2 linked regions of the Arabidopsis thaliana genome follow. The protein of the gene in region 1 purifies or fractionates together with the protein of each later gene. This does not show direct contact. Each region holds a gene or a part of one and is shown on either strand. Other genes may lie near its edges. The genes, in order: DWA3 and CUL4.

The links.
Region 2: the proteins of DWA3 (region 1) and CUL4 purify together in Arabidopsis thaliana (affinity purification with western blotting, with the first as the bait; one study listed by BioGRID). This does not show direct contact.

The regions. Positions count from the first base shown.
Region 1 is NC_003070.9:22,561,031-22,568,913, reverse strand, and holds the start of DWA3 (Transducin/WD40 repeat-like superfamily protein), read right to left. Parts: upstream 4,420-7,883; 5' UTR 4,130-4,419; coding exon 4,105-4,129; intron 3,813-4,104; coding exon 3,682-3,812; intron 3,587-3,681; coding exon 3,469-3,586; intron 3,262-3,468; coding exon 3,035-3,261; intron 2,940-3,034; coding exon 2,837-2,939; intron 2,694-2,836; coding exon 2,623-2,693; intron 2,284-2,622; coding exon 2,209-2,283; intron 2,119-2,208; coding exon 1,975-2,118; intron 1,868-1,974; coding exon 1,705-1,867; intron 1,178-1,704; coding exon 740-1,177; intron 645-739; coding exon 387-644; intron 49-386; coding exon 1-48. Other genes in the region: AT1G61200 (homeobox-leucine zipper protein-like protein), read left to right, coding at 5,494-5,581, 5,754-5,881. UniProt on the Arabidopsis thaliana protein: May participate in a complex which severs microtubules in an ATP-dependent manner. Microtubule severing may promote rapid reorganization of cellular microtubule arrays.
Region 2 is NC_003076.8:18,730,849-18,738,731, forward strand, and holds CUL4 (cullin4), read right to left. Parts: upstream 5,968-7,883; 5' UTR 5,806-5,967; coding exon 5,559-5,805; intron 5,079-5,558; coding exon 4,963-5,078; intron 4,878-4,962; coding exon 4,531-4,877; intron 4,254-4,530; coding exon 4,073-4,253; intron 3,983-4,072; coding exon 3,860-3,982; intron 3,772-3,859; coding exon 3,484-3,771; intron 3,115-3,483; coding exon 2,989-3,114; intron 2,851-2,988; coding exon 2,749-2,850; intron 2,648-2,748; coding exon 2,594-2,647; intron 2,346-2,593; coding exon 2,239-2,345; intron 2,143-2,238; coding exon 2,082-2,142; intron 1,989-2,081; coding exon 1,857-1,988; intron 1,759-1,856; coding exon 1,621-1,758; intron 1,505-1,620; coding exon 1,424-1,504; intron 1,313-1,423; coding exon 1,232-1,312; intron 1,107-1,231; coding exon 1,026-1,106; intron 835-1,025; coding exon 721-834; 3' UTR 523-720; downstream 1-522. UniProt on the Arabidopsis thaliana protein: Component of the CUL4-RBX1-CDD (COP10-DDB1a-DET1) E3 ubiquitin-protein ligase complex which mediates the ubiquitination and subsequent proteasomal degradation of target proteins. Participates in the CDD complex to light-mediated control of development.

The sequences.
Region 1 (7,883 bases):
CAACCTTCACAGATTTTGATTCTTTGCTACCTCCAGGGGATTCAAGGCCTGCATGACAAAATATTCATAACCAATTATAAAATGATTGCTGCCTGAAGACCGAGACTCTTGACCACAACTGACAAGAAAACTGTTAAGGAAGCCCTAAAAGTAGCTAAAGATTTAGATGTAGAAACCTACAAGCTAATGCTATTACTTTTCTGCCGGCTCATTTTTCCAGATTGATTTTTCTTGTAGACGGTCTTTAATTTAATACCTCTTCTTAATTAACAGTTTTAAAAGGTGAAAGGAAGCCAAACACATAACGTTTCACTAGTTTTAACATTGGCTTTAGAAGCAAAAATCCCCATTAATTAGTCTACGCCACTTTTGAATCAGGAACTTACTTTTTAGTTCATCACCAGCTTTTTCTGGTGACAGAACTCTTTCTGACCTACTTGAAATGCTCTTGTTCTCGATATCTTCCTCACATGGGTTACTACCTCTGTCATCCCTGAGCCCTGTTGGCAAGTCCATGTCTCTTGAGGACTCTAACCCATTCTTTTTACTGTCTAAAGCTCCAGAATCAGTAGATGTCGCCCATCTTGCCTCATTGTACTTAGTACTTGGTGATCTCTGTACACGAGGCGGTTTCAGCAGCATACCTAAGTCAAAGATTGCAAGATTTCCAAAAGGATAGGATTAGATCATCTGAACGCTCAAATCTAATGAAACTAAGGTATGAACTGGGAGAACCTACATTTTGCTTCATCAGTCGGTGATTCTGGTAATAAAGCTTGTTCAAACTTGTTGGTGATACTCTTGATGATAGAATCGTCGGCATCATATGGGTTCCTACCACTCATTTCTGAATCAAACGCCGTCTCAGTATCTAGTTTCTTCTCACCATCCAATCCACTTTTCTTTAGATATCCAACAGCCACTGACTGCTTCTTTGTTTCATCAAACTTTGTTGGCGTCTTTCTTACATAAGCCGGTCTCAACAGCATGCCTGGCTTTGTTTTTGAGAAAGTGATAGATTCCTTTCCTGAATCAGAAGAGTCTTTCCCAATATCACTATCCCGTGGAACAACACTATGCACTACTAAAGACTTATTATCCCCTGCTTGTCCAGTAGAAGTTGCTGGAGTACTTAGAGATCCTGACTTATGTGCAACAGCCGAATTTCCGCCTGTAGCTTTGAAGAGAAGAGAGAATATTAAACCAAATATAAACGATAAGCATACAGAAGTGAGAGACAAATGAAATTTACACTGTCGCAAAACAGAAACTGACATTAAAGACTAAAAATAACAGTCCAGGTCACACAGTGGTTATGGCTAGCGATATTTAATTTATTCAGAAACGACGACCACCATTTCAGTCTCATTCAATTTCAATAGGTACAAAATTTAGGAATATACACCAACACATGCACGGAAAATATATGATTAGAGCAGGCCTAAAGATAAGGTAGCTTTCCTATCACTAATACAAGAAAACCAGAGTCAGTGATCTCTGCTAATAGTCCATTGCAACTAATCGTTAAATGTTGATTCACTTTCTAGATATAGGTGGTTGAGAGTAATAAGTAAGCTACCGCCCAGGGACTTCTCAAAACCTAACCAAAAACCTGCCATATCCTACTCTAAAACGAGAAACTTCAATAAGTTCAAGGTAGAAAACTGAATCTACAAACATCGAACAAAATTAACATTCACTCACAGTCGATGTATATGTTTTTGATCTCTTTCGTCTCATAATCTGGAGATGAGCTGCGCCTTGGGGTACTCTTTATTCTATCGAAGGACTGATCATCCAGAGCACTGAGTATTTTCTCCACGCACTCTTTTTTATCCGCAGATCCAATGCCGTATGGCTCAATCTGCTGTGTTAATTAAGGATAAAAGAAAAAACAAAAACATGAGCCTTCAAAACACTTATTTACCAGCTCGGACATAAATTTTTAGAGGAAAATCACAATAGCTGACATACTGATATATCTGAGACCCAAATCCCTACTGAATTTTGGTAGTATGAACAACCCAGGAGCTTTCCTTCGCTGATGCATAAGTCACCAAGCGTTGACCATCCCATATCAACACCATCATGGCAAACCACAGGTTCCCATGAATAAACCTGAATTATGAACATCAGCTTATGATATCAATGTTTTTGACTCTGGAGAACCCTTTATATGGTAAAGCTCATCACAAAGAAAATCAAAACCTTTAAGCTGTCATCCAAACCACAAAATAAGGTTCGCCCATCCGGATGAAATTTGATTGAACGAACTCCAGTAGCCTGTGAAAACAAGGAAAACCACATACCACATAAATTGTGTGAATAACATCTTCCGAGACGGCTACAAAGCTAGCTCAACGCCAAAACATATTTCATCACATGCTGCTTTCTGGACTCCGTTCACTTTTATTTACTTCTAAATCTTTTTAAGAACTAAATTTTATCTTGGCATTTCTCTAACACACTCTTCAGATCAAGGCCGAGAATAAGCAGATTTCTGATATTTTTTATGTGTGAGATTTCCCTTCAAGGTGATCACGCTAACAGGAAATAAACGTAAAAAACACTTGTTATAGAGTCCCCTAGAAAACAGTATCTAGTGACACCACAGGCTAGTACCTCTGGTCGGGTAGATCCAATCAATTCAAACGTTTCCAAATCCCAGAACTTTACAGTCCTGTCAGCAGAACCTGAATATGAATAGGGAGAGTGTGAAATCACAAGAATTCAATATAAAACTGTGATTAAGGAAATGTCAGTAGTTAATCTACCAATCGAAAACGACACCAAGTTACCCCTATAATGCCTGAAAAACAAAGAATCACAGACTAACCTGTGGCTAGGAGGAACTCAAGCGGGTGGAAGTCTAGCGAACGGATAGGTCCTTCATGAAACTTAAATTCATGCAAAAGCTTTCCAGCAGTCAAATCCCATACCTATTGGATACAACATATATAGCAGTATCGTTCTAAGATCATAAGTTTGAAAAATATGATGCACAAGCTTCATTTGTTGAAAATGCTGTTCTTACCTTTACAACATTGTCAAGTCCTCCGGAGACTACCCAACGACCATCGGGAGTAAACCTGATAGTGCTGATGCCACGAGAATGACCCTTGTACGTCTGTATGCATCCCTTCTTCCTGATGTCCCAAATCTTTAGATTCGCGTCACTAGATCCCGATGCCAAAAATTCACCAAAGGGATGAAATTCAACAGCAGAACAATTGGATCTATGTCCAGTAAAAGCTCGAACCACTACACTTCAAGAGCAAGAGTGAAAATGTTAGACCTCATAATTCTAAACTAAAAGTCTGGTACACTGCTCAAATAACCAAACCCATAATCCACATAGCCGATAACTCAAATGATATCCAATATATTCCCATTAAACAACACTAGCTCAACATAAAAGAAGCAACAAATATTCTAAAACAAAGGAGAGCAGAAAATCAATAAACTAACTCTTTGCTTCTTCAACATCCCACAGCTTTATCACACCCGAAGAAGCTCCAGCAAGTACCAAAACTTCAGCGGAGTCAAAAGCTACTGAATCCACTGCACTAGTATGTCCACACAGACTCTGCCAATAAAAGGCTATAGCATCATTCTTCTATCCATAATAAAACACAAATTTTCTGTCAAAGACATACTGAAGAAAGCAAATGTGAAACAAACCATTAAAGAAGTAGGCTTGCCAATCGCCCAAAGATTGACTTTGTAATCATCACCACCAGTTATAAAGAGCCGTGATGTCTTCTTTCCGATACTTAGACAATTCACATTTGCAGAATGTGCCAAAAACTCCTCTAAGTTTCCAAAATCAAGTTAAGTTATAAACAAACCCACAGAGAATAACATATCAACAAAAATAAATTCAAAGCATATCCAGAAAAAAAAAATTGGAGAAGACAAACATATTAATTGCAGTGTCTTTTTCTATCAATTTGCTCTCAGTTTAATTAAGCAAACAATAATAGAAACATTTTGACCAAATTGACGAAGAGCTAATAAACCAAAGCTTGTTTATGAAATAAACCCCAAGCGATTCAGTGATAAAGAAACTGTTAAAATTTCTCAAAATCGTCAATATAAGGATACGTAGCTTATAACCACGCTTCGCCATTTTTTAACTCGATTTTCCAGCGAATCCGTGAGGGGGAAATAGAAATTTGAATCTGGAATCGAATCTGTAGCTTCCGGAATCGATTTAAAACGGTGAATCGGAGCTACAAAAATCCGAATTGTCACTAAACGACAGAGGTCGAGATTTTAGGGAGATTTCAAAGGGAGGGATATGAGAAGAGATCGCTTTCCGTTGAGATTTGAAATCCAAAAAACGTGAGAGAGAATCAGATTCGGGGAAGAAGATTGAAAGAAACGAGACGAAATCAGATTCAAATAGTGACACGAAGCAGAATTAAGAAAGAAACAGAGAAGAAGAAGAAGAAATTTTGATAAAGCGAAGAAAGTTTTTTTTTTTTTTAATCGGTCGGTAGGTTTTTTAATTTTTTAAAAAATTTAAAAATATAATTAAGCATTTTTCTTGGACAGTGGACCTCTAGTTTCTTCGTTGTTCGTTCTTCTCGGTTCTGACGAAAACACCCTTTTGTCCGGGCATTGAATTCGAGTGGAAATTACGAAAAGAACCCTTGCTTCCAATTGACTTCTATTGGTACAGTTTTTTTCTCCAACTCCATCATAATTTGTTAGTTTTCTTTTGTCGAAAATATTATTTGATTGGTGAGGCAACACGTCATCATCTCTTGGTTTTGTTTGTTTCTTGAAGACATTTTCAACCTTAGGAATGAATTATAGTAATTTCAATCCATAGATGTATGATGGATGCTAACTGACGTTAAAAAAAGAAGAAGATTATGATGATAATTGTGTGTTTTTTTTTTTGACGAAATGGAATTATATTGAGCTTGAATAATTCAATTTCAACTGTTGTTCAAGACAAAGTAGCGGTTTAGCTACATCAATGTAGGAACTGGAATTCAAACAACCAAATTTTGCTAGTTTATGAGCCGTTTCATTACATCGACAACATTTCATATTCAGACAAATCAGTTTTTATTTTTTTATTATTTAACTTCTTGTGCCAATAGATAACATCTTGGTGTATAAAGATGTGTTAAGTAAAAAAAAAAAGATGCGTGAGTAGAACCAATAACCGGATCATGAAGTAAAATGATTTTAAGAAGAGGAAAAATGTCGTTTTATACGCGAACTTTCAAAAAGTGGTCATTTAATACGTGAACTTTTTGTGTGGCTAAATAAAACATAATAAAAACGTTGACCGATCATTTCACACAAATGTTATTGTTGACCAGGCCAAAATCCCCATGCCGTTATCTTTCATTAATGGATATGTTAGTTCCGTTAACACACGTTAATTAATTTCCGTTAATACTCAAAACGACGTCGTTTCATTGAAAAAAAAGAATCAATATTCCCAAATTGATTTCAAAATCCCTAAATTCCAAAATGGAATCCAATTCGTTTTTCTTCAATCCATCTGCTTCACATGGCAACAACATGTTCTTCTTTAGGAATCTCAATCCCGTTGTCCAAGGTTCTTTTCTCACTCTCATAATCTTATTTTACCATGTTGGAAGTTTCCCTGTTTTTGTTTTGTTTTGTTGTCTTGTGAATAAAATATGATGAACACACACACATGAGAACCAATTTGAATATGAATAACAACATTGACTATTGACAGCAGTTGTTCGTTTGAATTTATGAAGGAGGAGGAACAAGATCGATGATGAACAAGGAGGAAACATCAAAGCGAAGGCCTTTCTTTAGCTCCCTTGAGGATCCCTACGACGATGACTATTACGACGACCACTTGCTGAAAATAAGAGGCTGTTAGGGATTTGGTTTTTAGAATTTAAGGATTTGGTTTTTGGAATTTAGGAATTAAGGAATTAAGGATTTTTTGGAATTTAGGGATTTTGAAATCAATTTGGGAATTTTGATTCTTTTATTTTAATGAAACGACGTCGTTTTGAGTATTAATGGAAACTAATTAACGTGTGTTAACGGAACTAACAGATCCGTTAATGAAAGATAACGACATGGGAATTTTGGCCTGGTCAACAATAACATTTGTGTGAAATGGTCGGTCAACGTTTTTATTATGTTTTATTTGGCCACACAAGAAGTTCACGTATTAAATGACCACTTTTTGAAAGTTCGCGTATAAAACGACATTTTTCCCCTTTAAGAAGATAATATTATAGTGATTTGATTGTTGTGGGATATTTGATTTTGTTCCGTAATATGTTATCTTTTCATAATAAAATTTATCAAATTATTGGACAATTTTTCTCATTTCATTTAACTATTGAGAAAATTATGCTAAATTTTTGTCTCATGTTAAAAGTTGTCCACGATAGAGAGTAGTTAACATGTTTTGAATTGTAAGAATTCAAGTTAAAAACAATTCAGGAACAAAAAAAAAAAAAAGAGAGAAGATATTCTATGAGACATTTGTAACATTGGATGAACGAGGTTCAAGACCAGTGAACGATTGATCGAAATTTGAGTTTCTGAATTTGGTATAAGTTCTTGTTTTAAATGGTAGTTGATGTGGTGAACCCATTCACTACAGGAGAAAACAGGCTCTTGTTGTTGCCCCCAAATCAGAAACCTACCATGCACTAGACATTAGATCACAGTTTTAGTATCTGCATACTAGCTAGGTTTAGAGGACCTGAGTTTATGATTTTCACGATTTAACAAAATAAACCATCACCCAAATGAATCACACAAACAAGCTGCAAGCTAAAACAGAGATGCAAAAATAATACAATAAAAATAATAATAACATAATCCAAGTGAACAACACAACACACTGCAGAAAGATAAAGAAATTATACAATCCAAATGAACAACACAACACACACTAGAAGAAGAAATATAAAGCAATAGAAGAAGAAGCGTGGATTCCGATTTTAGACAGAGAGGAATCCGAATCCAGCGTAAAGTTTGTTTAGTCCTGTCTAAAGAAGAAGAAAAAGAAACAGAGTTAGATTCACATGTGGAAGCGAAGTCAGATCCTTCATGTTGTGGCAGTGAGTTATAGACACGCGGCATAGGTTGGTAAAGCAAGGAATTGTGGGACTGTGTAAATCATACGAGTCCGTCTTGCTTTCTTTGCACTTCATATATGTATCAATCTCTGAAACATGACTTCTTTCCACACTGATCATACGATAATACGAGATTGTTCATACCTACTAGCAAAGATATGTTGAATGGCTTTTGTTGAAAATCCCTAATCTCCATATGAGTAATGCAGCTCGCCAACCTTTGATCATTTGATATTAGCTCCAAACTCAACTCTGTGGATATCGTTATGGTTCGAACTTGTAGATGCTCCAAGAGCTGCAGCTCCTTCACTCAGCTTACATCTCCATGAACATTAGAATATAGTAGTTTCAATATTCTTAAACTCGAAAACTTTGGTATTCCACTGAGACTACCAAGTCTCTTTGCACAATCCAAATTCAGCTGAGTAAGATTTTTCAACTCTTACGTAATCTTCAGGAAACAGAGCACAATATAAGAAACACGACTTGATATTTTCATCCACCAAGCTATCGTAGCTGTACTTTAGAATTGGAAGAATTTTATTTTCCATGTCAGAAAAATCTGCAGCGGATCTAGTCAAAACATCGATTGCATGCTCCCATTCTTGTACCATAGTTTTAGATGTCATCTCTCTTGCCAACTCCACAATAACAGGATCTCTACTTAATGTGTTGTCTCCCACCTTTGTAGAGATTCCCAATCCTTGACTATTGGTTTTGTGGTGGCTCTGTAGAGATTCCTAGATCTCTTTTCTGAGGGGAGGCATATTCAAATTCAAA
Region 2 (7,883 bases), on another chromosome or scaffold:
TGGACGATGAGTCAATATATTTCCATTTTTCTTAAATGTACGTGTAGATACATTTAACTATTTCACAAACCGTAGTATGAATTTTATTCAATTGTCTTTCAGTTGCGTACAATATTGATCAGCCATAGTTAAATGTCGTTAGGGACGTTCATCAAGTAAGCAATTTGATTCTCTCTGTTCTTTCTTTAGTTATTTGGTAGTGGTAAAAACAGAAATGCCTATAATGTAGTGTAAAAAAAAATCCGATTAAACTTAAGATTTAATTGCCTAAAAACGAAGAAAAAGCTCTAAGAACTATCTCCATTCAAATAAAACTCAAAAACGAAAACAAAATGGAATCAGCACATAGAAAACCCTCGAAGATATATAACCTATCTTAGGAACTTTATTGGAAGTTTGAATTTTTTTAAAACAAATCAGTTATTTTTGTAGGGAAACAAAAACATCTTTTAAGTTGTATAAAAATCTGAAAACAAAGAAGTCCCAAGAAAGTATGTTCAAAAAAAAAAAAAAAGTGAGAACCGAGGAAAAGTGAATCAAAGTAAGAAATAGAACTTAAGGCTGTACATAAGAACGGGCGGAACAGCGAGAATAGAGATGATTGGAATATCGAGAGTTCTTTTTTTTTTTCAAACTGATAAGAAAATTTCGGTCATCGTTTGTTTGTCAATAAATATACAAAAAGGAAAATATTCAAAAGGTGTGTTTACCAAAGAGATTCTAAGCAAGATAATTGTATATCTGAGGGTTGCTTTTTTCCCTCTCCAAATATTCTCGATCGATCAAGCTCTCAATCCTCTTCTTCAGATCAGCAGGCTTTATCGGGAATTTGAGCTGCAAATCACAAACATATATCCATTCATAGCAATGGTATATTAAATTTAGTAGACTACTGAGAACTCTAATCATCATCACGAGTATATTACCAATAGGACTGGACCTAGTAACGAATTTCATGCTTTCTTTTTTCATAAACCGACATGTTATTTCGGATTTTAAAATCATCAAGCAGGAGTGAAATTTACCTGTTGGAAGAGCTCAGTGATTAGAAGAGTATGGCTCAAGACTTTTCTTGTCTTCATAATACGAACAATGGCTGCATCGATCTGTAAGAGAAGGGTGTGATGGGGAAAACCATTTTGTCAAAATCTTTTCTTGTTTAAGAAGCCAAAGTTGTAAGAACGATTTCAGAAATTAGTATCGTAAAGGAAAATGGAGAGCAGAAACCAACCTGGTATTGTCGGTCCTGGAATACTCTTTCCGTTGTACTTGTGTTCTCCTCTACTGTCTCTTTCATCTGGATCGCATTTACCTGCACCCAGGAACAAAAGAAAGAATTGCTTCACTATAAGCTACATACAAAACAGTATCACAAGATTCTAGGATACTTTAAGTGAAGAGACCAAGAAAAAAACCAACGTACCTTAATGCGATACAGCGGAGCTGCAAACTCATCATTAAATTCAAATTCATCACCGTCTTCTACATCTCTTCCCTTAGGATTCTGCAAAAATATTTACACAATAAGGCTTATCCTTATGGAAAAAGGCAAAGCCATAATCTCGGCAGTTTCTGCATTAGCTGAAAAGAGAGTTAACAGAGTCCAGATTTTGGCCAAACCTTCTGCAGGACACGGACTTTCCCACAAGCAAGCGACTGCAAAGTCCTCCTCAGCTCCTTGTCCTCTATGCTGGTGGAATCTTTAATGTCTTCAAAGCTAAGTTTCATTGCATCGTTAAATAACATTAACACAACAGCCTGAGACAAAAAGAAAAGAGCAATTGATTAACACTGTAACCTCGGGAAGACAGGAAAGAGCTTAAAAGGGGGGGGGGGGGAAAAAAAATTTGACTGACCTGAAACAGGGAAACAGCCAGCTCCTTTTTACCTTTGGAGAAATCTGCCTTTAAAACACAGTGGCCTAATGAATTTTGCCACATTAACCTCCTACCACTGTACTTGCTTAAATAGAACTCTTTGAAGATATCCTACGAAACATACAGATAGCTTAGAAAAAGCTTGTAAGAAAACGTCCAACGAGGAAACAAAAAAAAATACATAAGAAGAACTTTTAGTAAAACCTGATAGACATTTAGTTCATGAGGAAGCTTAACATCCATAGGCGGATATGTTGGCCAGTACCTGTATTATAGACGGGAAGTTAACAAGCTTTATATATGTCATGATATCCGCATTCCAGCAGTTATATCCTGGATAAAATTGATACATTGTACATACCCTGTTGTTAAAACGTGGACACTCATCTCAATTCCCGATGGCAGTTTTGTTCTGGCCTGGGAAGATTGTTTGAATGACTCGTTGATTTCCTTTGACAATTCAATATCCTGGAGAAAATTTCAATAAAACGGAGAGTTCAAGCTCATTAGGATTATTGTAAATGTACACAAGTTCATTAAAATAAGTATGGAGCAGGATCATCCGCCAATCCTGTCTTAGATTGGATTAACAATGAATATGTATACCGGGGTATATCGTAAAACGTAACAAAATATAAGATCATTAAGTTTGTTCCTTAGTAAAACTTAAACGACCAACATCTTTTTTGAATATAGAGAAGGAGAAGAAAGGATACCTTGAACATCCCTTCGAGCTTGTTTGTAAACTGGCTACCACACTCAGTCTTAAGCTGTAGGTAAAACCAAGGTTGGGATCAGTGGGTGAGAACTACAGATATAGAAAACAAATTGTGGGAAAGGGAAACACCCAGAATATAAATCAGTTTTTAACCTTAGAGATCATGGATTTCTCAGCATCGATTGAAGCACTCTTTCCCAACAGGAGTCTCTTCGCAAGATCCTTTTTGTAAAATGCTTCGAACACATCTTTACCCTTTGATAAATAATAAAAATCCATCAGCAAAACCGATATCCAGAAGATCAAATAGCTGGTTTACAGACCATGCACTGGCCTCGAAGCAGTGATTTACAGTGACAAACACAGTACTAAATGTAAGAAATTAGAGATAACCTGGATAAATCTGAACAAAACCAAGACTTTTTCAAGAACACTCTCCAATTCTTCTTCAGAAGTACCCTTATTCCCAGCACGGAGTTTCTCGTCCAAAAACTTGGCAATAAGCTCAGCTGGCCGGTTCTGTAAAAAAGATTATCAGCATAAGATGTATATTATTTGGGATGCTTGCTAAATCAGAGTATTTGGTATCCAAAGTGATATATATTAGCAAACAACACTACTGTGATCAGGTCCAGTGCCCACAAGAAGCTTGATCTCAAAATTATGTTTGAAAATAGTATTCACTGCCCAAAGATGTCTCCAAATCATAGCAATACAGTGCTTAATCAGTAACGAAATCTATAGATTATTATAAAATATAAATTTCTCGATTTCACAATTGTAATTTAAGGTTGACATTTCCACAATAATCAGTATGTTGCTTTTACATGAAAGTAAAATTATTAGCAAGAGACTCAGGCAATAATCAAGAAAATCACTATTTGATACCTGTCGAAGATTAATCAGATGCTCAAACGAATCTTTGATTGTGTTACCAAATGATTCGTTCTTGTAAAAGCTCTCTTCCCATATTATGTCAAGAGAAGCCTTGAAGTCCAACAGTGATTGTACCATATCTTTGTCTTTCTCTTCATCCATAACAATCTTCTGCCCAGTTTTCCGAACATATGAACTTAGCGCCTGCCTCAGAGACTCAAGTGCATTGACCCTAGAAAACAAGGTTTGCATCCTCTGAAGGTCCTCCGTACGACGTCCATCCATTAATGTTGTAAAACCCTGAAGATGTTCAGAAATAAAGTAAGACTACGACAAACTAAAATTGGATAATATGCAAGCCAACACAAGAATAATAGGAGATTGGAACCTTTTCAAGAACAACAAGTATATGACGTTCGAGAAGTTGCCTTTCAACAGTTGTGATCAATGGTTTCCTGGTTACTGCATCTATGTAGAGTATGCATCTCTCATTCTCTTCATGCAACCTTCCCTGCACCAATCACCAGTAGAAACCTTAGAAAGACTATTAACCTGTAGTGCAGCTAATCATAAGGAAACTATATGAAGTCATGCAAGGCACCTCAACATGCTTCAGGTACTCCGGAACGTCAGACTGCTGCATGTATTTCATTCCTTCAGCGGCATAAAATTCAGAGGTCCCTTCAAGGAAAGGTTTCTCAAAGCTTTCCATATAAATTCCCAGTGCAGTAAACATCTTCAAAAGATGGCTTAGTAGAGTCCTATTAACAGCTTCTGCTAACCTGCAGGACCAATATCATGCAAGAAAGTTCAGCAGATTCAGATGAAAACATTATCCAATATATAAATGACATACACTAGTCCTGATTTGCCTTGAAATTTTACCTATAACAAGTTATCACTGCTAGACAGGAATAGTTCATAGACCATCCAAACTTACCATATTCACTCAAAAGCCAGAAAAATAAGTTGAGGTAAAGTGGCTTTATGAAATTATATTCTCAATGTGATAAATCAACCCTCGTTTAATTTTGGAAGACCAGAAGGTTAAAAATTTACCTTTCTTTTTCAATCATACTTAAGAGACCTTTAACCGTCCTCTGCTCAACTTCAGGGGCCAGAGAAAGATGCTTCCGGAAAAGCTGCAAACCCATCTCCCATAATGAACGTACATTTGGATTCTGTATCACATACTTCCTATCCAGAGTCAAGGCTATACTACGAATCATGAGCATCTGGTCACAAAAGTCTTGCCAGCATTTCTCAACACGTGACAAGAAAACAGTCAGATCAGTGTTCTGCCCAACTAAAGATTGCAAAGCTGCAGAGATGTGTTCTTCACACTCCTTCTCAATCTGGTCATAAAGCTTTCCATCCAACTTATGCAAGCAAAGGTTATCAACAGCCTGAAAAAACAATCACAATCTCATCAGCACGACATTTACACATACGAATAAGAAAGGAAGTAAGTAAATTTGCACGTAACCTAACCTGGTAAAGGCTCTCGAGGTCAAACGAAATTTTTTTTTTGAGGAATATAGCTCTGATAGCTGACTGCAACTTCTCCCATGTATTCTCCTCAAAGTTTGTTGGTAGAGTTGGTTTGGCTTCACATATATAATACAAATGGTACAATCAGAACCCTAATTATGAAAACACTTTTATCTTCAATTTGCTAGCCAGTCACAGTAAAGATGATTCTCAAGATGTTTTCTAATGGCACAAATTAGGTTTGGTGAGAGCTAAGCCAACTAGATTGTGCACAACAAAGATTCCGGATCTTAAGTACCTAGATCAGGCTAGACAAAGAGATTCCAACTTAGAAGAAATACAAAAACCCAAATCACTCATTCACATCAAAATTCAACAGTCACACTCAATTTTCCACTGTAATTTAACATCAAAACTCACACAAAACTTCCATCAATCGCAAGCCAATGAAAACCCTAAAAATCACGAACCTTAACAATTGTATCATTTCAAATCAATCCAGAGCATCAATTGCACAGTAGAGTAAAAGACCCAAATCAAATCCTAAGATTACGATCAAAATCGTAAAGATGAAAGAAATCGAAATCGAGCGAAACCTTTATTGAGCTTGATTACAAACTTCTTAGTAGGTTGCGGAAGTGTAGCTTTCTTCCGAGAGAGATTAGCGGCGGCGGGAGTTGGATCTTCCTCCATATGAAAGCCAACAACCTTGTCGGCGGTATTAGGGTGTTGAGGGGAATGGTGGAGGTCGTTTTTGGCCTTTTTCATCGGAGGAGAAGAGTAAGAAGAGTCGTCGGAGGCAGAAGCGGCGGAGAAAGTAGAGCGTTTGGTAGGAAGAGACATGAAAATGGGTGAAAATTGTGTGAGAGAATCACGAAGAGGAAGAAGAAGACATCAATCCTAAATAATAACAACCCTTTCTCTCTACCAAAAGCGCACTGTGCACTCTCTCTCTTTTTTTTTTTGCTCAAACCTACGCGAAAACTCGCGATTTAGACCCGACCCGAGAAATGAAGATTTTTTGTTTATTTATATACTCTGAATAAAATCAGAATTATTTTATTTATACATTCATAAATCATAATTACTATATGATAAAAAAAATATTATTGATAAAAATAGACATATACCGCAATGATTAGATGTGCGTTGTTTTAATGGTTACTAATCACAAAAGTGAAAAACAAAAAAATAAAAAATAATAATCAATTGTTGCCTGTTTTGTATGGTTATTTTTTATAACTACTTTTAAATTTTAACTACTTTTTATTTTTAGTTTTTGACAACTGATAAATCATATCTATTGTATATTTTTAGAGTCGAATTTTTATTAAGTCATTTTACGATTTAAAGAATAAAGAATCGATCACACGAGTCGATGCTTGATATTTAGATCATTTTTGATATATATTTTTATTTTTATTTTAAAGAAAATTGAGTTGATTTTTTTTCCATATATTTCTTTTATTTTTTAAAAAAAACTATTTTAAAAGAATATATTAGAATAAAATGCCTATAAAATAGACTCACCTATAACGTGGAGAATGGAGATAAAAATAGAGATGATTAAATACTTTTAGCAGTCGGTAATTTCAGGCAGAAAATTGTGTGATGTTAAAAGACATGAACGAAGAATCATCACTTGACAATATGAATAAATATAATATGATCGATGTCATGGATTAGCCAATGTGGGGCGTGTTGACTTGCTGCTCCACAGGGTTTTTGGACTTCCGGTTTAGGGTTTGGTTCTGATTACAAAATATGGGCTTATCAAATTATTTACAGGAGTTAATACTTTGGGCCTGATTACAAAGGTTTAACCGAAGCCTATCAAGCAGATAAGAGACGAGATGAGATTGTTAGAGCATCTCCATCGGCAAAAGTGGTAGAGAGTATCTCAAAAAGTAAATAAATTAATATTTTAATCAAATTAATATATTTTAATTAGTTTGAAGTAAATGAACTATTAATTGAATGACAACTCTCAATAAATGCTGAGAATAGTCTCTCTTGCCAGTTTCTCCACTTTTCTCTTCTTCTCTCATACTTTTTCTCTTTTTAATTATTATTTAATTGATGAGTATCTCAATCAGATATTCCGATGGAGATGGTCTTACAAGTGTTACCGAGACGTACCAATTGGCGAACTCATATAACTTGTGCTGTTGTGCGAATGTGTTTTGATTAGTGAGGGTTCTTGGGCCAAAAAACATGGCTGGTTTTTAAGTCGCAATTGCAAGGATGAATATTATTACAGCCACAGCCTCAACGACTGCATGGTCTTAAAACTTTTTATTACATGTTGATTAGCCTATGGAATTGTATAATTACTAATACAAAATGGTGTTCATTACATTCTCACCTCGCTTAAACTTACTAATAATTTTTTTTTATTTCTTTAATCCCTCATTAACATGTCAACACATTTATTTTTTCTTTATTCATGTTTCAAGACTATAGAATTTCTCAATTAATCCCAATTGATACTAATAATAGCAAATTGTAAGTCTCTTGGATCGTTGGATCAATATTTTCACATGCAAACATGTGAAAATGAGGAGTTATTGAAAAATTGTAAGCTTGACATAAAACAAACAATTGAACAATTTTAGCTTTGAATGGTTTGTACATGGAACACTGATTAATAAGATTGCGGATTAAAACCGCTTCTGTTTCACCATTTATATATTCTAATCGGTAGTCATGCTGAGATATAAAAGTAAAAATAAAATTGTTGTGGACTGTTTTTTCTTCCAAAATTTACATCGTAATAAAAATAGAAATCTTATGCAAAAATTATAAAGATTTTTTTTTAGCTTTTACTAAAAAATAAAATAAGATTTGTTTTTAGTAACGCTTTACCTTAAAAAGCTGCTAGAGTTTCTAACTTTCAGTTTATTATCATCAGCACAAACTCT